Linked DNA regions of Schizosaccharomyces pombe. Changing the gene in region 1 together with any one later gene gives a genetic interaction. Each region holds a gene or a part of one and is shown in the gene's direction. Other genes may lie near its edges.

Region 1 (5,148 bases):
ACAATTTATGCTCCTTTGGTGTTGTAATACAAATAAGCGCTAGTTAAAGCTCAGAATCTGTATCAATCGCAAGAACGAAAATGACCGCCAAATGCAAATTATTCGAGTTTAACGTTACATAAACGCGCAAATCCACGAACAGTATGATCTTTTCAATACAAAGAATGCAGAGATTTAAGGTCCTGTTGGGTTAATAGAAAACTGTTAGCAAAGTATGTATTTAGGCCAGTAAACTGCGATATTTTTTTTACTGAAATACGTTAGCATTCACAACTGGGCTTACAGTTTCTCCCCTAATATATCAACGATTGAAATCTTTTTAAGATAATCTAACCTTTTATTTAGTCGAATAAAAATTTCAATTTTCTCTTTAAGCTAAATTTGGTTGAAACTGCTTTTTTAGGTCGCTTGGATAATTGCTTCCTTTTCTCTTTCGCTTTAAACGACTTTGAATCTAGATGAAAAATGGTTTACAACTTTACATTTGTGATGATTACATCGTAAATATTTACATTGTGCCTATACCCAATTTTTTTTCTTCGTTTCTTTAGCCACAAGCGTTAGTTGAAAGTATTGTTTACACAGGAAGGGTTGAATCAGAAACATTGTATGTATGATAGCGTTATATTAGTAGACAACACTTGTAGGCAAACCTATCCCGAAAAATTTTATTTTTAAATATATACATATGCTAATTTCCAACAATAAGCAGTCTACTTTCTTTTCCGACGATGTTTTTTTCTTTCACCAACATCACCTATTATGTTTACAGGTAAAGTAGGTTCATCCGTTGTATGGTTTTTTGATGATCTCTTTTTGATGCTTAAAGGGTTAGGCCCTTTAGGACCCTTGCGTTTTTTATTGGCTTTTGGAGCAGAATCCTCTGTTCCCGCTAAATCCGTACTTTCCTTGGTATCTTGATCATCGATAGCCAGTTCATTCGCTGAACGCTTTTTTCCGGATAATAACAACTTTTCCTCTTTTGACATGCCCATCTGAACGGATTCTTTGTTGTGCTTTTCTAATAACGTAGCTCGTGAAGCTGGTTCTAGTATCACAACTGACCTTTTCATATATATAAGTGGAACACCTGGGACCGAACGAAGAGCTTGCCTAAGCTCGGGGTCTTGGGTAGCAACAACATAGCGGTGCTTGTTCCGACCATTAATGTTGACTACACTCTGAATACATTCTGAAGGAGAGAGTGCTTCATCAATATGACCACACCTCCTTCGCTCAAAAGACTTTGCGATACGAATTTCTTGCTTCAATTCATCGGATTTACTGTACAATTGCCGAATACAACATTGAGTAATCACTATAGTCAGTTAGTAAATCCGTTAGTTATAATAATTTACAAGGAGAACATAAGGAAAGAAAATAATAAACCAGACCCGGATGAAAAGATACTATGTTGAATAATTAAACTTTCCGTTCTGTTTCATATTCCGGGGGTTCGCCCTTTTTTCCAGTAAAAGAAAACACTTATAAACAAAACTTACTAGGTTTTATAGCTCCTTGAACAGTCCTAGCTAATGCAGCTTGTATATCAATCTTTTGTTGAGATAAATCTTTTAGGAAATCTGCATCCACTAAAAATCATGTTAGTTTAATAACATCACCAAAAAGAAAATGCTTATTGTTTGCAAATTAGAACTTGGGTAAGGATGCATCTTTACAAGCATCATTTTCTGTACCACATACCGAGTACTTGATATGGTTCACGAAATCCAAATAAAAGCTGATACGTATGCATCAGCTTTCTGTAATTCTTTGCCCTTTTTTGCCTCATATTTACGCCCTTTTCTGTGCGTCACACAGCCTAAGACTTAATATGCTTTAGATCACTTGTTTTTTTAAGAATTTTTTTTTTCGCTCAAAAACGAAAAGTCTTTTGTTACTATTAGAAATATTAAAAAAATAAATTCAATCGTATTAAAAGAAGTATCCAGGAACCCTAATATTGCTGAAATCCTCTTATTAGGAAATTTCCAACTAGTTTGTACTTTCCAAGTTCACCCACGTACTAAAATTTTGGGCGCTTTAACTATTTAACTTAAGTGAGATACTTGGCTTCGAACTGAGTGTATACTTCTTTTATTTCTCTATTTAGATAAATTTGTAAGGAAACGGTATTAAGCAGAAAGAGGATTCAGTCTATTATTTACCCTTATCATACTTTTTCTTCATTTCTACTGCGTAAATAATTTTAAAGCTTTGCTTTTTATTATTTGAAAGATTTGTCATTATTACTTTCTTTCTTCTAAAGCTTCTTTTTCTTCTTTTTATAAAATTGTAAATATATTCGGATCCAAAAATTAGAGGTTTATTTCTGAAGTGTTTGTTTTGTTGCTTCTATTTTCTTAAGAATCAATCAATAAAAACATGAGTGAACAGCGAGTTTTTAAGCACCCTTGTCAATTTTTAACATGGAATTCTAAACACAATTACATCGTGTGCTGTTCAGGTCCATATCTATTGGGGTTCTCATGCTCTACAGGGGAAAAAATTTTTGAACATTGTTATAGAGACAATATAAATGAAAAACATAGAGAGGCAGCTGCCTATGGAGAAGCGATTCGTCAAGTCGCATTTTCTAAAGACTATTCTCGTATGGCAACAGTTAGTGAAGACAAATGTTTGCGCCTTTGGGATAGCACTCAGCCTGATAAAATTGAACTTCTTTATCAAAAAAACATACCAAAGCGATGTGCTGACTTGTGCTTTGCGGGCTCAAACGAAATTGTTTTTGGTGATAAGTTTGGTGATGTCTATTGTGTAGACGAAAATTGGTTTACTACTTCTGAAGTTACCGAAGAAAAAAAGTCAAATGTGGTTGAAGGAAAACAAGAACCTGTTAATAATGACACTTTAAAGGATTCGAAATTGCAAAAACTCGAACCCATTATGGGGCATGTTTCGATCTTAACTCAATTAATAGTTGCTCAAAATCCACAAAATTCTAAAGAAGAAATAATCATTACTTCAGATAAAGACGAGCATATTCGTATTTCCCGATTTCCCAATGCATTTGTCATTGAAGGGTTTTGCTTAGGTCATGAAGAGTAAGTTTTCATTTGGTTTTAGTTGATCAATTTTTTTTTTTTTTTTTTAAATAACACTAACGCCTTTTCCTAGTTTTGTATCTAGGATGTCCTTATATGACAATCGTACTCTAATATCTGGCGGTGGAGATAATCACGTTTTCGTATGGGATTTAGAGAATTTCAAATGTTTGGATGCATTCGATCTACGATCTGCCTTTTCCACTTATCTCTCATTAAATCAACCAATGGTGGTTTCAGTTATTCTTCCTATTTTTAAGCGCCAGCTTGTTGCTTTTGCGTGTGAAGGAATGGCGGGTCTTATCTTCGCGAAGGTGACACCTGAAAAGAGACTGTTGTTTCATTCTGCTTTGAAGCTGTCAGGGCCTGTTCTTGACGCTGTTTTGCTTGACACGGATACTGATCAAATTCTCATTTCTTTGGACTCTAGTTTTACATTTGGTGCATGTTTTGAATGCGTGAAATTTGATGAAGGGAATGCGGCTGTTCTTACGAAACCCGATGTAATAAAGCGTATAGAATCTGATGGTTTAATATCAACCGAAAAGCCGTTCTGCCCGCTCGCTCAAATTCACACATTACGCAAGAACCACTCTAAATTCATTCGCAGTGTTGAAACCGGTACATCTTCGCCATCCGTTGAATCTAAAGATAATTAAAGCTCATTTTAGGGAGACCGGCTCAAAAAAAATAATTGGGAAAAGTGGGAGCATCAGTAAATATGGAAAATAGATATGAATAAAAATGATTGTGACATTAAAGTATAATAGGGAGAGCATTTAATTTCTTTGGAGAAACCCAGAATTTTGAAGTATAAATACAGTCAGCGATTAATAATTATGCGAATAAACGCAACTTGTATCTACTGCATAAGTGCAACTGCTATTCAGTTGTGCAACGTCAGCAATTTGAAGAAGTAAAATTAATCGTTTATTCAATTCCTTCCATTTACATGCTACGACAATACTTTACATAATACTTGCAACGGCAAATTGTTTTTAGAAGGCCTAAAGAACACGAGATACATCCATTAGTGCTATCTAACAAAAAAAGCTTAGTCGAAGAGACCGAAACCCATGTCCTCATCGGATTCCTCTTCCTCTTCAGCAGCAGCCTCGGCAGCGGGTGCCTCAGCTTCACCACCAGCAGCAGCAGCAGGAGCAGCGGCGACTACGAAAGCAGAGGGATCAGCAAGGAAAGCCTTAGTCTAAAATAAAGTTAGTGAACTGAGTACAAAAATAATTTAATGATTCAAAGAGTTTAATTGTATACAAGCGTTCAGCAAAAAATTAGAGTGTTTAAACTTTGCGCTCATGAAAATTTAGCGAGTTAAAATAATCCTCATCAAAACGCATTGCAAAACAATTGTTTCATATATAATGCTCCTTCAACGAAATCTGCCGATGGAGAAGCATCGAAAAGATTAAGGAGGTTCAAAAATATATATTTTTTCATTGAACCTCAAAGAAAAGGCATTATTTATAACAAAAGGTTTAAAACTCCTTGAAGTATTTGATATTATAGGACATACCTGTTCAGTACCCTCGAAGGTGTACTCAGTGGCCAAAGAGACAGCGACCAAGTTCTTGTAAGCGTTGACAACAGAGTGCATAACGGATAAGATAGTAGGGTAGTTAGCGCCCAAGGAAATGGCAGTGATAATACTGGCAGCAGACAAGAGGTGACCGATAAGATCCTCCTCAGAGACGTCAAGAATCTCAGGACTAAAGACGTTTCCTTGGTCATAGATCGTGAGAACATCCATACCATAGGTGAAGGGAGAGATGTTTAACATGTTAAGCAAAGTAGCCTCGGAAGGACCAACTTTAGCATCCTTGGAGACCAAATGGACATCGGAAGTAATTTCAATGGTACCACGAGTAATCTTGGTGGGGATACCAAGAGCTTGGAAGAAAGAGGTCTTACCGGGTTCCATACCAGTGTTACCGGCAGGGACAAAGACATCCAAGGGAGCAATGGCGTTAGGACGAGCAGGAGCAGCAATAACATTAGCAATAATGGTCTCACGGACTTCCTTCAAATCAGCGTTGGTGAAGACGAAACCAACGTTACCACGAACAAC
Region 2 (5,517 bases), on another chromosome or scaffold:
AAACTCGACTGAAGTACGAAACATACCTATTGTAAAGAAGAAATAATGATATTAAACCTAAGATATAGTTATTTATAGACCCCTTATAAACCCCAATTATTTTCTAGCCTTTTCACGTCGCGCCTTACCGGGACGTTTTTTAGATTTAATGTTTTTAAGACCTTTTCTCCCAAATTCGGTAGCAGCAAGACTGTCGAGATCATTGCTTTTGCTGCGATGCTTTGGACCACCAAATCCATACTTTTCATTTTTCTTTTGTCGCTTCGGATTAGGCTGTGGCCGTGATTTCGTACTACGGCTACCTTTTTTAAATGTATCGGCAGAGGCTGATGAAAGAGCAATATCAAAGTCATCTTCAGTGGTAAGATCTCCTCCAGTATGCTTTCGTTTGAGAAGGTTAATTTTTTCGAGGGTTTCCTTTTTTTCCCGTTGACGCTCTTCTTGTTTAGCAAGCTGAACTTGTTTACCAAACTTCTTGAGTTCTCGTTGTTTCTTAGCTTGCTGGGATAGTTTTTTAGCGGTTGCTTCTTTAATCAACTCTTGACGCACTTTCTCCATGTGGTCATCGGACTTTAACATTTCCGCAAAATAGTCATGAGGTCGGGAAATTAGAACATTCGCCTCACGAAGTTTGGCAAAAGCCGCCTTTACAGAGCTCACACCTTGTTTATAAAAGGCCAGTTCACGGGCAAGATCATCCTCAACATTTTCAATTATTATAGGCTCCTTAGTAGTAACAGCTTGGTTTTCAACAAACGAAATATCATCAGGATATTTAATTCGTTCATAGATGTTCTCTAGTGCAACAGTGTTATTTATAGCTAATTTTCTTTTTCTAATCAAATCAGCGTCTTCTTCCAACTCAATTCCTTCAAGATCAGAAAGTTCAACTTCATCTGATCCCTCAGATTCGTTCTCTTGATCAGCTGTATCAGCTGTTTCAATAATAGGAGATTTAATGGTATTGATCATTTCTTTCTCATTTAATGCCTCAACAGAAGTAGAAGATTCATTGCTTTCCTTGTTTTTCTTTTCCTTCATAGCAGCTTTAGCTGCCTTTTTCTGAGCTCTTCTTTGCTTTGATTCTATTCCTGCCATCGTTGTAGTCTAGTGTGTATTCTACACAAAGCTGAATTTGAATATTTTTCAAAGGTTTTGAAAAATTTGCTTTGTGCTACTTTGATTAATACAATCTACGATTAGGCTAACGGTGACAAAGATTTTTACTATTGCAGTTCACATCAAATAATAAAGAGCACATTTAGAATCGCTAAGCTGATTAACGTTGCGTTATATTACTCTTAGTCTTCATTTAGGTTGTACGGAAGGCATTTAATAAATCCTTAACGTAAATTTTAACCCTTTATTTGTCCGTATAAAATTCGTTGTATCAATTTTAAGCTATAACTTGGTCGCATTTTATCGATTGTAGAGTTATTGCTGATAAATTTATGTTTTGCTACATTACACCAACTCTAATTGAAATGACGGTAATTTAGTAAATTATCAGTTGTGTAAGTAAATTACTATCAGCTTTTTTATGTAGCAAGATGTACAAATACTTTTCAATGGATGGCTTTTCAGTATAACTTTTCCCTTGACTTCCTGATACAATTGTCAAAATAAACAACAGTTCTTTGATTGTTTACGTGGTTACAAAAAACCCCGGTATTGTTCATAAGATGTAAGCTACGCAGTTTGGTATCTGATTTAAGGATACGTAGAACTGCGGTGAGTTTTCCTTGTGATCTATTATATTACAATACACAGGTTGTATAAGTAGCAACTGAGTATAGGTATTGTATTAACTGGGTTATAATGTTAACTATCACTAATATAGCTCATAACTGAACTGAGGAACGAGGTTCAGCAGTAGCTCTATTTATAGTATTCAGATAATATTGATCTTAATAGATTATCATTAAGATCAATCTCCATATCGTATTATACATGGTACGATATATAATTAGAACATGTGACATATAGTGATACTCAACGTAGTGTAGTATTGCTGACATAAGAATACCAAATGCTTGATGCGCTAAATTATGGTATAATAATTTATCGTAAAATTTTCATTTTCATTGTGTTTCGAAAGTATTGCTAAATTTTCTGCTTTGCATGCAAAAGAATCCCACAACAATACACGATTCGACAGTAACATCAGTTGTACATATTATTGTTCATAAAAGATTTTTCTCCTTTGAATAATTCCGCTTAGGTGGATTCTAAATCTAGATTTGTTACTTTTGTGACTGTACTTGTGAGTGACAAAGAAAAACACCAACGGGTTTGTAGCTTTGCAATATCATGTCAAAGCTACCAAGTCCAACAATGCCTCTGCCAGAATCGGTAGGCGACTTGGTTGTTTTGCACTTTGAAACAAATCTTGACGATCACGGCATTAGCATTGGCCGGGCGCCATGTGAAATTCATGAAATATGCTGGGTTATATTAGATGGAAAAACTTTGGAAAAACAACACTGTGAATCGTGTAGTATTCGTGAAGATAGTTCTCGTCATGGAATTTGTGGTTCTGCTAGTTCCTTAACTGAAGCTATCTTCACATTGGATAATTCAATCCAAGAACGATTAAACTTCCAAGGAAAACCTTTTACATTTGTTGTTATGAATGGAAGAGAGCTTCGTGTATTATTGCCAAAAGAAGCACGGGATCAGGGAATTACGCTACCTTCCTACATGCGCCATCCTCGCTTGTTTGATTTATCAAGCGAATACGCCAAGTGGCAGATTCGCATGGGTGCAGTACCACCATACACAATAACGCTTTCTCATATTTTTGGTAAATTAGATGTCGACTCTTTACCACCTATTACAGAGTCAAAAGCAATTGAATTATCACCTTCAGATGCTCCTTACATAACCAAAGGTCTTACTCAATGCTGGCGCCTTGCAAATGCTACCACCTTATTGCTTCGTAAAGCAGAGAAAGATTCTCGAGGTCATTCTCTTCCTTCGGTGCTTACACAACCCATTAACTGTCAAGCAGACGCACGAAGCTTTTATGCAGAACGGTCAAAAATTGTACACGTTGCAGGTTTGACCAACGATGTAACACAGCTCGAGTTGGAAAGTTGGTTTACTAATCATGGGGTTCATCCCGTAGCTTTATGGACTTTAAAGACTCCCGAACCTTACAAATCTACGGGTACAGGTTTTGTGCTATTTGCTAGTCATGAAGATGCTGCCGATGCTCTTGCCTTTAATGGATATTGCTTAGGAGATCGGATGCTGGAAATTATTCCCAGTAGTACAAAGGTTTTAGATAAAGCTTCAGACATTCTAATTCCTTTTCCTTCTAGTAAGAATCGCCCACGCCCTGGGGATTGGAATTGCCCAATGTGCGGTTTCAGCAATTTTCAACGTCGAACGTCTTGTTTCCGATGCTCATTTCCTGGTCCTACTCATGTTTCAGCTGCTACTGGTAGCAATACTTTTTCACCTGATTTCCCTTATGGAAATTCATACGGCAACGGCTCCTCTCACTTTATTGCCAACTATGGTGGATCTGTCCATCATTCTAACGAAAATACCATGCAAAGTGATCTTCAGCATCAGAATGGCAATAATGCTGTAAATCATCATCATTCTTCACGCTCATTCGGTGGTAATGTCCCTTTTCGTGCTGGTGATTGGAAATGTGGCTCTGAGGGTTGTGGATATCACAATTTCGCAAAAAATGTTTGCTGCTTACGCTGTGGGGCTAGCCGTGCTACAGCTGCAGTCGTAGCAGATCATGCATCTGGGCCGGTGAATGGTTCGTATAGTCATAATTCATATTCTCACATCCCCCCTGTTATGAGTACAAGTCCTCCTAATCATTCGGTGTATCCTTACTCACAACTTTCTATAAATTCAGTAACGGCTAATCATGGTCAAAATTTTGGGGGACAAAATGGTGGTAATGTATCTAGGTTCGATGATCATGGACGCTTTAAAGAAGTATCACGTCCTTCCGTTACTACTGATCAAGGCGATTGGTTATGTGAGTGTGGATTTACTAATTTTCGTCGCCGCAGTAATTGTCTCCGTTGCAATGCTCCGCATTACTCTAATATGCAGATTCCTGCATCCTTGCCTTCGGATTTCAATGCTTACGTGTAAAGTTGGACAATTATATTTAATGGATAGGTCCCGTAGTACAAAGGATATTTGGTAAACACTATAGCTAAAAATGCAAGTGATTAGTGCGATAAAAATAATCACTTATGTCTTGAAGGAGCAAATTTGATGAAACAATTGTTATTATTTAAAGGCAGCATTTTGAAAAGCAACTCTATTGGAACAAAAATTTAAAAGTTGTATTGGGTTTTCTTATGAAGGTTTTGCATAAACATTGAATTACAGGTGTGGTCAAAATTAGTTCATAATTTTCTTTGGTGGGTTTTTTTCTTCTATTTAGTGCTATTTAATTTTTGACCTTGAAGAAATTTTCGGGGAAAAAACAGCAGTCAATCGTATAGAGCTCTCCCATATTTGGGATTTGGGGATTCATTTGTTTTGGAGTGTCACACTCATTGAACGTTTGAAAAAATGGTTGTTTACCTCTTACAGTTGTCAGTGCTGTTCAAATTTATAGGGTTCTTCGGTAAATAATGTATTGTTAATATTCCTTTTTTTTATTATATAATTTATAAAAATTTTGTAACGATAATGATTAAATCAATCGATACATGAGGTTACTTGTAATACATGGCATTATTAGAGAGAATTAAATTCGCATATGTAGCATTTAAAAACAGTTAGTTGATGCTTTTCTATTTTTTCTTTTTATTCTTAAAGGGTTATTCTCAATATATACAAATCCACACCAGTGTGGCTATATACTGTACTCGAATGTTGACGACCTTTCTGCTTCTTTAATCCATACCCTAATTAAATATAATCCATGTAGATAGTTCAACAAAAAACATGAGATAAGATTCAACACACACTCATGATTAGTTAAATACTTGTTGAACATTCCGGAAATTTTTGACGATTGTACGTATCTTTTCCTTCAACGCATTTGGGTGTTTATCTCTTTTAGAATGCCATTAGCATAACCAGGGGATGATTGCAAAAATCAATTTCATTGATCATCAATATCGTTGGAAAAAACAATTCTATCGAAAGTTTAAAGCATACCAAGCAAATTCTTAAAGCAGCTTATATATTTTCTGACATTATGAATCAGGTTACTCAATTTAGTGGAAATTCTGCAAACTTGATGCTTTACTGGATTCTAAAAAGTTATTACTCTAGGTTTGATAGAATTATGTGGATTGATACTTTAGGTACTTTCAATCCGGCTGCACTCCCTCTTCCATGTCTTGAAAAAACTATGTTGGTTAGATCATTCGATGCTCAGGGATTGAAGGATGCAGTTGATGAGTTGGAAAGCAATCTCAAAAGCTCCGAAGATCAAGCATATGCATTGTGTATAGATTCCTTTTCTAATCCCATTGGTTTGTTAATGGCTCAGGGCAATATATCTTTTGCACATGCATTCATGAT
Region 3 (6,182 bases), 1.7 Mb from region 1:
GGCGACTCGTTGATGCAAGAGTCTAAACCATCTACCGAAACTTTCGAATTGAATTCCAGTGACGCTGGAAGGGTTTTGGAAGTTTTAAATAAAGAATTAAAAATTGTAACTTCAAAACCTTCAGCTCCATCCAAGCTGGTTATCGTAGCGAATTTTGATCTCAAGGCATTTAATTACAGGATCATGTATCAAAAGCTTTATGATTCTTCTGAAGTTCTGGATGATCGCATTGAGCTTTTTAGTGCATTAACTTGCAGAAAATACAACATAAGTGATGAAGATTTGGCAAATCCTAGCGAACTTACTCAAGAACCCGTTGTAGTTGTAGGACGAATTGTTGTCGAAAGTACCAATTTAGGTGGAAGACTCAACCAAAATAGCATTTTACTTGAAAGTTCAAGACGTCTAGGCGCTGGTGTTCGAGTTCGTTTGAAGGTGGATGATCTACCAAGTTACTCAATATTTCCTGGTCAAATTGTTTCAGTTAAAGGATCCAATCCTAGCGGTAACATGTTTATCGCCAAGGAAATCCTTCCTATACCTCCTTTGCCGTTCCCAAGTTCATCTAAACAGGAGCACGCTACCTTTGTTGCTAATACAAATAATCAGCCAATTTCTATATATATTGCATCTGGACCTTGGTCTCTCCGTGATGATCTCTCTTTTTCCCCTTTAAAATCAATGATTTCATATGTAAATAAAAATCCTGTTGACTTGGTTATTCTATGTGGTCCATTCTTGGATATTAATCATATACTAATACGTACCGGAAACATTACAGGAACGTCTGCGACTTCTTTGGAAGAGTTGTTTAAAGAGCGTGTCACACCCATATTAAGCCAGCTAACTTGTCCTTGTATTTTAATTCCTCACATCAATGATGCTGCTTCAGATCATCCTGCATGGCCACAGGATGCATTTAATCGGGTGGCCTTAGGTCTTCCATCTGTATGTTAAGTTGTATAATAATTTTTATTGACCAATCCATAGAACTTCAAATGCTTCCCGAATCCTTGCATGTTTTCCATTAATGATGTCGTCTTTGGTGTGTCAACCAACGATATACTCCTTCACACATCTAGAGAAGAGTTATTTCGTCTACCTTCTCATGGTAACTTATTTGCACGTTTGGTTTCTCACGTACTTCACCAAAGGCATTTTTATCCCTTATTCCCTGGAGGTTCTCTTGAAAAGTGCAACCCTTCAAACTTAGATATCGCACATCTTAAACTTGGTGAATTCCTAAATACTATGCCGGACATACTAATTTTACCAAGTGATTTACGTTATTTCGTAAAGGTATGTTAATTTTCTACTTTGTTTTAACTAATGTTATAGAACGTTGAAAACGTTGTATCATTGAATCCTGGTAAAGCGACCAAAGGGATTAATTTGGGCACTTTTGCAAAATTAACTATCGCGCCATTAGAGCTCGGGGATAATGGTTCTTCTAATCATTATTCACATCGTGTATGGCTTCGAACCAAGGCAGAAATTTTAAAACTATGATAATTATACTCTCTTTTTCTGCGGAATTTATTGAAAATATAAAAAATTCAGCGTTAAATATCATTGGTTATCATTATTTATGTAGATGTCTACCATAGACCGTTAGAATTAATTAACTTTTCAGCTTTCATTTTCTATCTATCGCTATTTTGGTTTTCTTCAAATTTTGTTTGCAAAATTACTCATATGTTTATGTTGTTAATTTAACCATTTTCCTCAAATGTCTAAGACAATCTCTGATATATCTCAAATCGCTACTCGCGAACTTTTAGTCGTTGTTTTATAGTTGAATGAGTATTCCTTTTATACTGTAGTATTTGAATGTTCAACATTTTTTCGATTTGGACTCTAGTCTTGGTGTTTCACATCTCAACCTACTTAGTCACTACAGTTGACCTCCAACATACATAGGGGAAGTAGTGCAAATGCCTGTTATTCCTCCAGAAAAGCTTGTGTCCTTACAAAAAAATCAGGAAAATATTCGTAATTTTACATTACTTGCTCATGTAGATCATGGAAAGGTATGAATTTTGCAATTTTAAACTTTTTTGAATAGTTGCTAATGATTAATTAAAGACAACCCTTGCAGACAGTTTACTAGCTTCGAATGGAATCATATCTAGCAAACTTGCTGGTACTGTTCGTTTTCTTGATTTTCGCGAAGATGAAATTACGAGAGGTATTACTATGAAGTCTAGCGCCATTTCATTGTTTTTTAAAGTTATAAGCCAAAATGATGAAAAAAGAGTTGAAAAAGATTACCTGATTAATCTTATCGATTCTCCTGGTCATGTTGATTTCAGTTCTGAAGTATCTTCGGCCTCAAGGCTTTGCGATGGTGCATTTGTTTTAGTAGACGCAGTTGAGGGTGTTTGTAGTCAAACAATTACTGTCCTTAGACAAGCATGGATAGACCGTATAAAGGTGATTTTAGTCATTAACAAAATGGATCGTTTGATTACTGAACTGAAACTGTCTCCTATTGAAGCTCATTATCATTTGCTTCGACTTGTTGAACAAGTAAATGCTGTCATTGGCACCTTTTATACTGGTGAGCTTATGCAATTAGCTGATAACGACGAAGTCATCAGTGATGAAGGTATATATTTCGCACCTGAACAGGGAAACGTTGTGTTTGCTAGTGCATACGATGGCTGGGCATTTTGTTTGGACCAATTTTCAGAATTTTACGAAAAAAAGCTTGGATTAAAACAAAAAGCACTTACAAAATGTCTCTGGGGTGATTATTATCTAGACCCTAAAACTAAAAGAGTTCTTCAGCCCAAACATCTTCAAGGCCGACGGTTAAAACCAATGTTTGTACAATTTGTTCTCGAAAACCTCTGGGCTGTTTATGAATCAGCTGTGAGCAATAGGAACCTTGAAAACATTGAGAAAATCATTAAGGCATTAAACATTAAAGTTCTTCCCCGTGACATCAAATCCAAAGACCCTAGAAATTTGCTACTTGCGATTTTTCAACAGTGGTTGCCACTATCAACTGCAATTTTGTTAACAGCGATTAGGGAAATTCCTTCTCCTATTAACGCCCAAGCGAATCGAGCTAGGAAAGTTTTGAGTTCAACTCCTCATTACGAAATGATAGATCCAGATATTACACTGGCTATGGAAAGTTGTGACGCTAGTAAGGAACAGCCTGTTTTGGTATACATAAGTAAAATGGTAGCTTTTTCTGAAAGAGATCTTCCTAATCATCGTCGCAAACAACTTAGTGCTGAGGAGATGAAATTGATACGTTCAAAATTATCTGAATCAATTGAGAGCGGCATAAATACCATTTCTATTGAGGAAAACGTTTCTTCTACCAACTCTGACAATTTAGAAGGTAGCACAACTGACATGGACGATGATAAGGACATTTTAATTGGCTTTGCTAGGATATACAGTGGCACAATTTCAGTTGGACAGGAAGTATATGTTTATGGTCCAAAATATGATCCAGTCAATCCTGAAAAACATATTACCAAGGTAACGGTTGAGTCATTATATTTAATGATGGGACAGGAGCTAGTTTATTTAGAGACAGTTCCCGCTGGTAACGTTTTCGCAATCGGTGGCCTTGCCGGAACGGTTTTGAGAACAGCAACACTATGCTCATCTCCAAATGGTCCTAATTTAGTGGGCGTAACTCAGCAAATGGAGCCCATTGTGCGGGTCGCTTTAGAGCCTGTTCGTCCATTTGAGATGAACAAGTTAGTGACTGGCCTTGACATGCTTAATCAAGCCGATCCATGTGTTCAAATAGCCGTTGAAGAAAATGGAGAGCATGTAATTATGTGTGCCGGAGAGATTCATTTGGAAAGATGTTTAAAAGACCTTAGGGAACGGTTTGCAAAAATTGAAATACAAGCATCTCAGCCACTTGTGCCATATCGGGAAACTACCATAGCTACACCCGACTTATTAGCAAAAAATAAAGAACTGAGTATTGGCTTTGTCACTGCAACGTTACCAGTTGGCGGAGTTACGATTGGAATTACAGTAACACCTCTTTCTGGGTCTGTCGTAGATTTTCTGCTGAAGCACTCTAAAACAATTGAAAATGTTAGCAGCAATTTTTCAAAGAAAAATAGAAACGTTGTTGTCTCGGAATCTTTAACAAAAAGTATGGAGGAAGTGTTGACTCCTGAGAAGTTTTATGAAAGGCTTTCCAAGCTTTTAGAGGAAGAGAACTCTGACTTAGGCGAGCTGAAAAATCATTTGGATAGGTAGGTTATACTAGTGTTCTATTGGTTGATTACTAACAATACTAGTATCATTGCGTTTGGCCCCAAACGAGTGGGTCCTAATATACTTTTTGACAAAACCAAGAAGATGAGAGATTTTCGACGACAAAGCGATGAAACAAAATTAATACCCTCAGACCTTTCTGAATATGTAGTTACTGCATTTCAACTAATAACGCACCAGGGACCATTGTGTGCTGAACCCGTTCAAGGCATTTGTGTGTCAATCGATCAGTTTGACATATCTGATGACTCGGAAGATAGTAAGTTACTTACCATCAATAATCCCCAAATCCCCGGTCAAGTTATTTCGGTAGTGAAAGAGTCTATTAGACATGGATTTTTAGGTTGGTCACCGAGACTTATGCTAGCCATGTATTCTTGCGATGTTCAGGCCACATCTGAAGTCTTGGGTAGGGTATATGGTGTTGTTTCGAAGCGACGAGGACGAGTAATTGATGAAGAAATGAAGGAAGGGACTCCATTTTTTATTGTAAAAGCCTTGATTCCAGTTGTTGAATCCTTTGGATTCGCTGTAGAAATTTTGAAAAGGACATCTGGTGCTGCCTATCCTCAATTAATCTTCCATGGTTTTGAGATGCTAGACGAGAATCCCTTTTGGGTTCCAACTACTGAGGAGGAATTGGAAGATTTAGGCGAGTTAGCCGATCGCGAAAATATTGCTAAGCGCTATATGCTGAACGTTCGAAAAAGGAAAGGCTTATTGGTAGAGCAAAAGATTGTTGAAAAGGCAGAGAAGCAGAGGACACTGAAGCATTAAAGATAGTACTTGATTCCAATTTCTTTAGGAAAACGAAAAGATTGTAATTTGATGACAATGACCTGGTTAGATGGAGGTAATGTTTTTTTTTTTTTTTTTGTTACATTGTTGAGGTAGCTGTGATTTTGAGTTAAGTGTTTCATGAACTATGGGACTAAGATTAGAAGTCTATAAGATGAATAGTGTAAAACGCACATGCAAGATTCTTTAGGCTTCTTTTTGTTATGTTTTAAATTGTTAATACAAATTCAAATTTCCAAAAAATACCGATGTTGTGGGATATGCATAATACAAATAATGATATACTCTACTGCGTAATCGCTAGAAGGTGATAGATTACAGACGCGACGCGCCAAAACACAAACACATCTTTGTACTAATTCAAATTCTAGTATTTTGAAAACTATTCGCCTTAATGTTTTTTGACGGATGGAAAATGCAAAAGATTTTATAGGAGAAACAATAAAGGAGAATGGATTACTTACCATTGAAGATGATGGTAGCAGTAGTTCAGATGAAGAAGCTACTTTAAAACGACGATTGGCAGGCCCTTCTGTTCTCAAGTCAGGACAGGAAAATGTTAATCAAAAAAAGATTAACGAGATAATTTACGAAGCTTCCAAAGGAAGTAAGTTTTTTGAAGCCGAACAAAAACGAGACCGAGAACTTCGTTTAAGAATAGAAAAGGTTCAAGTTGAGGTAGAAAAATACCAATCAAAATTAAGGTTTGATAAAGCGTTTCAAAGAGAGTGGACCATTAGACAAGAAAGTGTGGATACTACTGTTGAGGATTTTAGGGCTAAACGAGATTTGACCCAAATAATTGTTCATGTTGATTGTGATGCGTTTTATGCATCAATAGAGGAACTTAAGAATCCAAAACTTAAGTCTTTACCAATGGCAGTCGGGAAGAGTGTTTTGTGTAAGTATTCGAATCTGACTGAAACTAATGCTGAATAAGGTACTGCTAATTATGTGGCCAGAAAGTTTGGAGTTCGATCAGCGATGCCAGAATTTATTGCTAGAAAGATTTGTCCTGATCTAGTTGTAATTCCGTTAAATCTTTCTGAATATGCAATAAAATCTAAAGAAATTCAGAATGTGCTTGCTCAGTATGATTCGAATTTGTGTCCTGCAAGCATTGA
Region 4 (6,959 bases), on another chromosome or scaffold:
ACGAGTCAAAAATAATACTTCACTAATATTGGTCAAGAGATTAGCAGCTTATATTTAATATAATGCTTAGACTATACTTTCGTTTGGATTGTATACATAATTCAATGTATCTGAAAATATGTTGGATTGAATTAATGCGTCGTTTATAGACTATATTGCCGATATTTAGGGACGAAGTAAAACTCATTACTAGAAAAAGTCAAACTGTAAAATATAAACAAACATCAATTTTAATTTCTTTTAAATAAGATAAATCTCAGCTTCCACTTTTTTTACTGTACACGTTAAAAAAAAAATCAACCATACGGATCAATCTCAGCTATTTTACTATGCCGGCGTTTGAGCAACAATGGTAGTTATTTTGCTTCTTTTTAAAATATTTTACCTCCTTTGTTGTTGACTGTATCCATTTTGTGCATTGATTGTTTGATAAAATGGTATGTTTGGCATTACAGGAGCACCAGGTATGGTAGCAGCAGCAGGAGAAGGAGAAGCCATCACCATTCCTGGTGGTGGAGGGGGGACAAGTGGTGCACCTCCAGGGCCCATTGGAACATTCATCATTGGCATAGCAGGCATTCCAGGGAAATGCTGTGCAGCAGTGAAAGGAAGAACATTAGGTATTGACAAGGGAGGGACGGCAGTAGTTGCTCCCACTAGAGGAACATTCGGTACAGGAGGTATCGATGTAGCAGCAATTGTTGCTGGAGTATTAGCAGCAGATGTTGGAGCAGGAGTGGCGGGTGAAAATCCTGGAGGCAGAGTACTCTGAGGAGTAACGGCAACTTTATTCTTTTTAGCGGCTGCTGCTAGCTTTCTTTCCGCAATATCTCCGTGACGTTCACCCTTTCCTTCGCGTTTAAAGGCGTATGACACGGTAATTGGTTTATTCATTAAAAACTGATTATTCATGGCCTCAATGGCTGCATCAGCGGTTTCAAAAGAATCGTAGCTAACAAAACCATAACCTTTCGACCTTCCATTCTCGTCTCTTGCTACCTGAGGTGCCTTGACAAGTTGTCCCAAAGCAGAAAATGTATCGTACAATACGCGTTCATCAACAAGAGGATCCAAGTTGCCAACAAATAAATTTGCACCAATTAAGGTATTGACTCCTCTGTCCTGGCTAGCTCTATTGACCCTTATAGGCTTTCCAAACAACTTTACTTGATTCAGAATTTGACATGCATACTCAACATCTTGTTCGTGTAAGAATTCGCAGAAACCAAAGCCATTATGACTATTCCTTACTCTATCTCTTGGAATATGAATATTTACTGTATGAATTAGTATCGAAAGCCACAAATACAACCAACACTCGAATAATTACATACCAACTGGACCTGCCTGCAGGCATAACTCAAACAAAATAGAATCCGTTACTTTTTCATCAAGATTGCCAAGATATATAGTTGCATCCTGATTCCTGTCTTCTCGAATACTCATTAATAAATAAGTAAAAATAAGTTAAAGTGTCTATTATAGAAATTTATTAGAATAAATAGATAGACACGTTTGAAGACGCTGGTAGAAGATTCAAGAAATTGGTGCATAGTCTCGTTATTGACTTAATGACGAGCACCAAATAGCACAATAGAAAACTAAATTACAGTATTCATCGTTAAAATTTCAGTGTCCAGCGTTTTCCAAACACATTTATGGAGATTTTTAATACTAAATCTTCGTTTTTTTTTTATTATTTTATAATTTTACTCATGAGATTGAATTATATTCAAGTTGAAGGTACAGTTGTGAATGGTAGACTGACGAAATATTTTTTATAGCAACCTATCTCTTTATACAGCCCTAATTTCCTTACATCCATCGTACACTAGTACATTTAATAGGTTCATTTATTAACTTTTTGTAAAAACGATGTTTGGCCATGTATATTTATTTTTGCTGCTGTAGTTTTGAACACAACTGAGGGCTTATTTATGTTACCCTAGATGGGCTTTTTACTCCCATGTGGTCTTTGTAACCTTCTTATGATCTTCACCCTTCAGGTGATACCACGACTTCAGTTGAATTTTATAGCTTTTCGAGTGTGTTTTTAATCAAAATATTTCTGTGATGTTGGTGTTTTGAAAAAGCGTACTTGTGTAGTCCTAGATGCCCCTTTTTTCTTTCACTTAAGTCTATTATTGTTTATGTTTAATTTTCTACTTGCAAACTTTTCGAAAGGACTGTTCGTAGCCTTTACGTTTATTGCTTATTTATTTTTTCTGATTTAAGCTCGTGAGCTTTTTCTAACAGACGTACGATCAGACAATTGGCACGTCTGCTTTTCTTTTCTTTTCTTTTTTAAGACCTGTCTACTCAACGCAGGATTTCTTCGATTATCTAGGTTTTTAAACGGTTTAAAAGGACACAGAATATTTTATTACTTCATTTTAGTATTTTATTTTCGACATGATTGCTGCTGTCGAAAAAGATGCTGTGCCTCGAAAAAGGCGAGTAATCAGTCAAGTATCTCAGGCATGCATTCGGTGTAGGCAGAAAAAAATAAAGTGTTCTGGTGAAAAGCCATCATGTCAAGCTTGCAGTAACAACAAAGTTGAATGCATTTGGCCTGATCGACCGAATATGCGAGGCAAAAAGCCATCTTCCGCTGCCAGAACCTTGAGTCCTCTTACTGGTATAGTGCAACCGTATCTGGGCTCTCATCCTTTTTCTCCTACGATCCTCTCTCCATCATCTCCTAACATGGATTTTACTTACTCTATTAATAGCTTTGGTGACTATCAGAAGCAGTTAAGGCTACCAACCAGTAGAAAGTTATTACAGCTTTGGGACATATTTCTTAAAACTTCATATACCGAACTTTTTGGGATATTTAATAAGGCCCAAATTACGTCTCAAATTGCAAGTGATACTGCTCCGCCAGTCCTCGTACTTTGTATATGTGCTCACGCTGCTCGTTTCAGTCAAGAGGAAGTCAATAGATTTAAATCTTCAACTGCAGCATCTGATTACTACGCAAACCAAGCCTTTTCACTGCTTCCTTGTCGTTTCCAGGATATTTCACTGACTAATATCACTTGCCTGCTCTTGCTTTGCTTAATTGAGTTGGGCTCTTGTAGAGGCGCTAAAGCCTGGCTTTTACTGGGTATGGCTCTCCGTATGGTCGATTCTTTAGATCTTGGTAACGAAATAAATGATAATCCTCTTACGATGGGATCCAACACTGTTTCATGGACTGAAGCCGAGCAGAAAAGAAGGGTTTATTGGGCTTGTTTTTTTGTCGAACGTTTGCTAAGTACAGGTTACATGGCACCTTCAAAATTGCGCTCACTTTCTTTATCTCTTCAAAAGACTAGTATACAATTACCTTGTCCGGAACCTAATTTTTTATTTAATCAGCCAATTCTTACTGAGTTATTTGATGGATCTTTACCGGAAAACACTCAGTCAGACACCACTTCAATGGCCCCATACCAAAGAAGTTTACAACTGGAGTTTATGACGGGTTCCCTAATCCGCTTGTCAAATTTGTGGAGTGAGATCTCAAGATGGGCTCTATGTGGTGGATACACGAAAGATATCACACCCCCTTGGCTAAATCAGTCTCAATTCCATCGTAGCTTTGAGCTTTTAAAAGCCTGGCATGAAAATTTACCTCCAAGAGCAGTTTGGTCATACACTAACTATTCGGCGTATAGTTCTCCCGGAGAATCGGCTGGTGCCTGTTACACTTTTATGCATTTGCTATATCACACTACCTTGACCTATCTTCTGAGAAACGTCTTAGATTTATTTCCTGAGAAGTCGAGGCAGAAATCCAAACTTTTTTCCTCTGTTTCACAACGCTTCGGACAACAGCCTCCTACTGTATGGATGGATATGATTTTAGATCAAGTCATTACTTCTGCTGATTTCATTACAAAACTTTCAAAGGACCCCTTAAACTACATAATGAGCCCATTTGTGGGGTTTAGTATATTGACTGCTGCTACTATCCATATGCTTCTTAAGTTTTGTGTTGTCAACATCGACCAAAATTACATTTCTTCCTCTCGACTTGTACACGTTGATCATCAGATTTTACAGGATCGATCCAAATATTGGAAAATTAATCAAGCAATGTTGGTAACTCTTCAGAGATTGTATAATTTCTACCGCTTTCAGTATTTAGAGGAACAGTCACTTTACAATTTCAAAATTCCAGGATTTCCTTTATGTATTCTAGAATATGGTATAGTGGAAGATCAGTCGATGAAGTCTAATCCTGATCTGAATTCATTTTCAAAAGAGTTGTTTTCAAGAGGAACAAACGAGCTTTTGAATAATGGCGATGATACTCAAAGTGGGAATTCGACACCTGCTATGGGTGTTTCTGAAATACGAACTGATACTATTCTGGATGAGGAAGTCCCCGTAGACCCACTGATCACTTCGATTTTAGATGACGGTCGCTGGTGGGAGGAAATGTTTGGATCAGAAAGGAAGGCGGGTTTTAAGGAAACGGTGTTCGAAGACATGAATGGAAGAAGTATTCGATTGTAAATTATACGATGTACAATAGTTTCTTTAGTTTTTGTTTCTTTATTCTTTTGTATACTAGCACTCTAATTTAAAAAGCTTATAATGCTTTACTTTTTCTACACCCCTGGAATTCCTTTTATTCACGAACTCGAAATTAATGATATTGATGGAACTGGTTACTTGAGTCAGTTTCTCATAACACTTATTGATTGCTTTTTATGCTTATTAATATAAGTTACTCATATTCTTATTAATGGGTAGTTTTATATTACTCATAGCGTAAATAAATATTAAATGGTATAACGGGAATTAAACTAAATTTGCTGATCATTAACTAATGCATAAATTTATTCCTCCTTATATAAGACATCACGGTTTAAGTCCTTTGGTTTCACAGATACAATACCAGATAGATGTAGCGTTAATTCCAAATCTCCCAAGAGACAACGAATGACATGACTAACACCGGATGAACCTTCAAGGGCTAACCCGTAAACATAGGGACGACCGATTAAAACCATCTTAGCTCCTAATGCAAGGGCCTTGGCAATGTCAGCACCTGAACGAACACCAGAGTCAAATAGAACATCTAATTTATCACCAACAGCATCTACGATCTTTGGTAGCATCGTCAAGGAAGCAACACCTCCATCTTGTTGTCTACCGCCATGATTTGATACAACGATGCCCTGCATGCCATATTCAACTGCCTTCTTAGCATCAGGAACATTCATGATACCTTTGAGAACAATTGGGCCATCCCAATGTTTACGAAGGAACTTCAAGTCTTCCCAATCATGGCTGATTCCAGGAAAGACAATTCCAGCAAACTCTTTAGCTGCCTCTAACATATTTTCTTCGACTTCCACACCATGCTTCTCCTTAAACTGCTTACGGAAAACGGGGTCGGAAAATCCGTGTTCAACACCGATGCTGTCAGGATTTAAGAATGGATCGTAACCATTGTCCATGTCTGAGGGACGCCATCCAAGAATAAATGTGTCAAGAGTAACTATCAAAACTCTGCAGCCCGTTTTCTTGGCGCGGTTGAGCAAACTAATGGTAATGTCTTGATGGTCATTGCTTGGCCAATAAAGTTGATACCATCTCTCTCCAGGACCACTAGCCTTTTCTATATCTTCAAAGCTGGTTGCAGACGCAGTACTGATAATATAGGGTATATGCTCTCTAGTTGCAGCGGCACACGATCCACTTTCACCCTCTGGATTGAAAATTTTTTGTACTCCTACAGGAGCCAAGGCAATAGGAAAAGGATATTTTTGGCCAAAGACAGTGGTAGACAAGTCGGGGAAACCAGACTTGATGAGACGGTTAGGAATGATGGACCATTTCTTAAAGGATTCCATATTTTTATCATATGTCTCTCTTTTTCCTGCACATCCGTAAACGTAGCCGGCGGCATCCTTGGTCATTCGCTCAACAGCCAGTTGCTCCCAGTGTCTGCCATCTACGGTGATTTGGGGTCTTTGAAACTTGAGACCTTTAGCGTAAATTTCGGACTCATATGAAATGGGCTCTTTTGCGTCAAACCAATTGTAGTTGCGGAACATAGTTAAATCGTATTGAGAATTTATTGATTACTTAGATAATGTCTTCGAGAAAGGGAAGAATCCAAAAATGTCGTAAAAAAGTAATAGAAATTAAAATGATGAGTTTCTTAACTTTTAAGGTTCAAAAGTCTTCTGATATTGCAATGAATGAGTGAAAATATCGGACCGACAATTTCAACTTGGGACGAGGAGTGTATAAAGGCGAAGTTGTATTTTTTTAATATTTCTTAACAGATAAAGTGGTATTTAAAAGTAATAGTTTATATTGTTTTTTATTACAGCAATTCAGTGCTACATTTATAACTTTTGGTTTTCGAAATTATGTAAATATGACATCTCAAGTTTCATATTAAAACATTTGTAAACGAATTCGCTTTCCGTACCCATTGGGAAAAGCGAAATCCCGTTTTTGTCCAAATTTGAAACAACCAGAGATGATTTCATGAAACCTTTCATTAATTATTTTCCTAATGAATTTAGATGTATTGCGCTCAGCTACAAAGTCCATGTTCATTTAGCATCCTTTCTTATACTACGATGGCAAAACGGCTAGCATGAAATCGGTTCATTTCTACAATATACAAAGTAATACTGACATTGATTTACCTGCTACTAAAAGGCCCACGTGCCCGTGGGTTTCTCTAGCTAGTTTTTCCAACAGGACATATCTTATAACGATATAATGGTGAGTAAGTTAAGCATATTATTTATAGCATAATATCGTAATGAGGTTGGTAATTAATATTTTGCAAATGGATTCGTCTTGTTCTGCAACTTTGACATGTTGCTAAACCGTTCAATCTATTCTTTGCTAAAGAGGCTATAGGAGGCCAGAATTAAAGGGGGTGGTTTGATGTCCGGAAAGCGTATCGACCGATATTGTAAAAAATTATAATGTTAAAT

The links.
Region 2: mutations in trm82 (region 1) and dri1 together harm fitness more than expected from each alone (negative genetic interaction), as found in Schizosaccharomyces pombe (one large-scale study listed by BioGRID).
Region 3: mutations in trm82 (region 1) and ria1 together harm fitness more than expected from each alone (negative genetic interaction), as found in Schizosaccharomyces pombe (one large-scale study listed by BioGRID).
Region 4: mutations in trm82 (region 1) and mca1 together harm fitness more than expected from each alone (negative genetic interaction), as found in Schizosaccharomyces pombe (one large-scale study listed by BioGRID).

The regions. Positions count from the first base shown.
Region 1 is NC_003421.2:1,976,510-1,981,657, forward strand, and holds trm82 (tRNA (guanine-N7-)-methyltransferase subunit Trm82), read left to right. Parts: upstream 1-2,011; 5' UTR 2,012-2,385; coding exon 2,386-3,065; intron 3,066-3,138; coding exon 3,139-3,724; 3' UTR 3,725-3,856; downstream 3,857-5,148. Other genes in the region: rRNA processing protein Utp23, read right to left, coding at 714-1,318, 1,503-1,592, 1,705-1,792; rpp0 (60S ribosomal protein uL10), read right to left, coding at 4,120-4,272, 4,597-5,148.
Region 2 is NC_003424.3:2,008,513-2,014,029, reverse strand, and holds dri1 (RNA-binding protein involved in heterochromatin assembly Dri1), read left to right. Parts: upstream 1-2,324; 5' UTR 2,325-2,334; coding exon 2,335-4,125; 3' UTR 4,126-4,685; downstream 4,686-5,517. Other genes in the region: rRNA processing protein Ebp2, read right to left, coding at 97-1,098; rdl1 (RAD51D-like protein 1), read left to right, coding at 5,189-5,517. UniProt on the Schizosaccharomyces pombe protein: Mediates heterochromatin assembly by promoting RNAi-mediated heterochromatin silencing and histone deacetylation. Binds pericetromeric transcripts and recruits the RNA-induced transcriptional silencing (RITS) complex to heterochromatin.
Region 3 is NC_003421.2:287,978-294,159, forward strand, and holds ria1 (GTPase Ria1), read left to right. Parts: upstream 1-1,902; 5' UTR 1,903-1,934; coding exon 1,935-2,030; exon of another isoform or gene 2,031-2,085; coding exon 2,086-4,238; exon of another isoform or gene 4,239-4,283; coding exon 4,284-5,037; 3' UTR 5,038-5,253; downstream 5,254-6,182. Other genes in the region: spb70 (DNA polymerase alpha B-subunit), read left to right, coding at 1-948, 991-1,299, 1,339-1,509; kpa1 (DinB-like DNA repair polymerase kappa), read left to right, coding at 5,467-5,959, 5,999-6,182. UniProt on the Schizosaccharomyces pombe protein: GTPase involved in the biogenesis of the 60S ribosomal subunit and translational activation of ribosomes.
Region 4 is NC_003424.3:2,983,883-2,990,841, reverse strand, and holds mca1 (transcription factor), read left to right. Parts: upstream 1-1,988; 5' UTR 1,989-2,412; coding exon 2,413-4,506; 3' UTR 4,507-4,832; coding exon of another isoform or gene 4,833-6,056; 3' UTR 6,057-6,109; downstream 6,110-6,959. Other genes in the region: U2 snRNP-associated RNA-binding protein Sap49, read right to left, coding at 382-1,277, 1,335-1,446; SPOM_SPAPB1A11.03 (L-lactate dehydrogenase (cytochrome)), read right to left, coding at 4,833-6,056.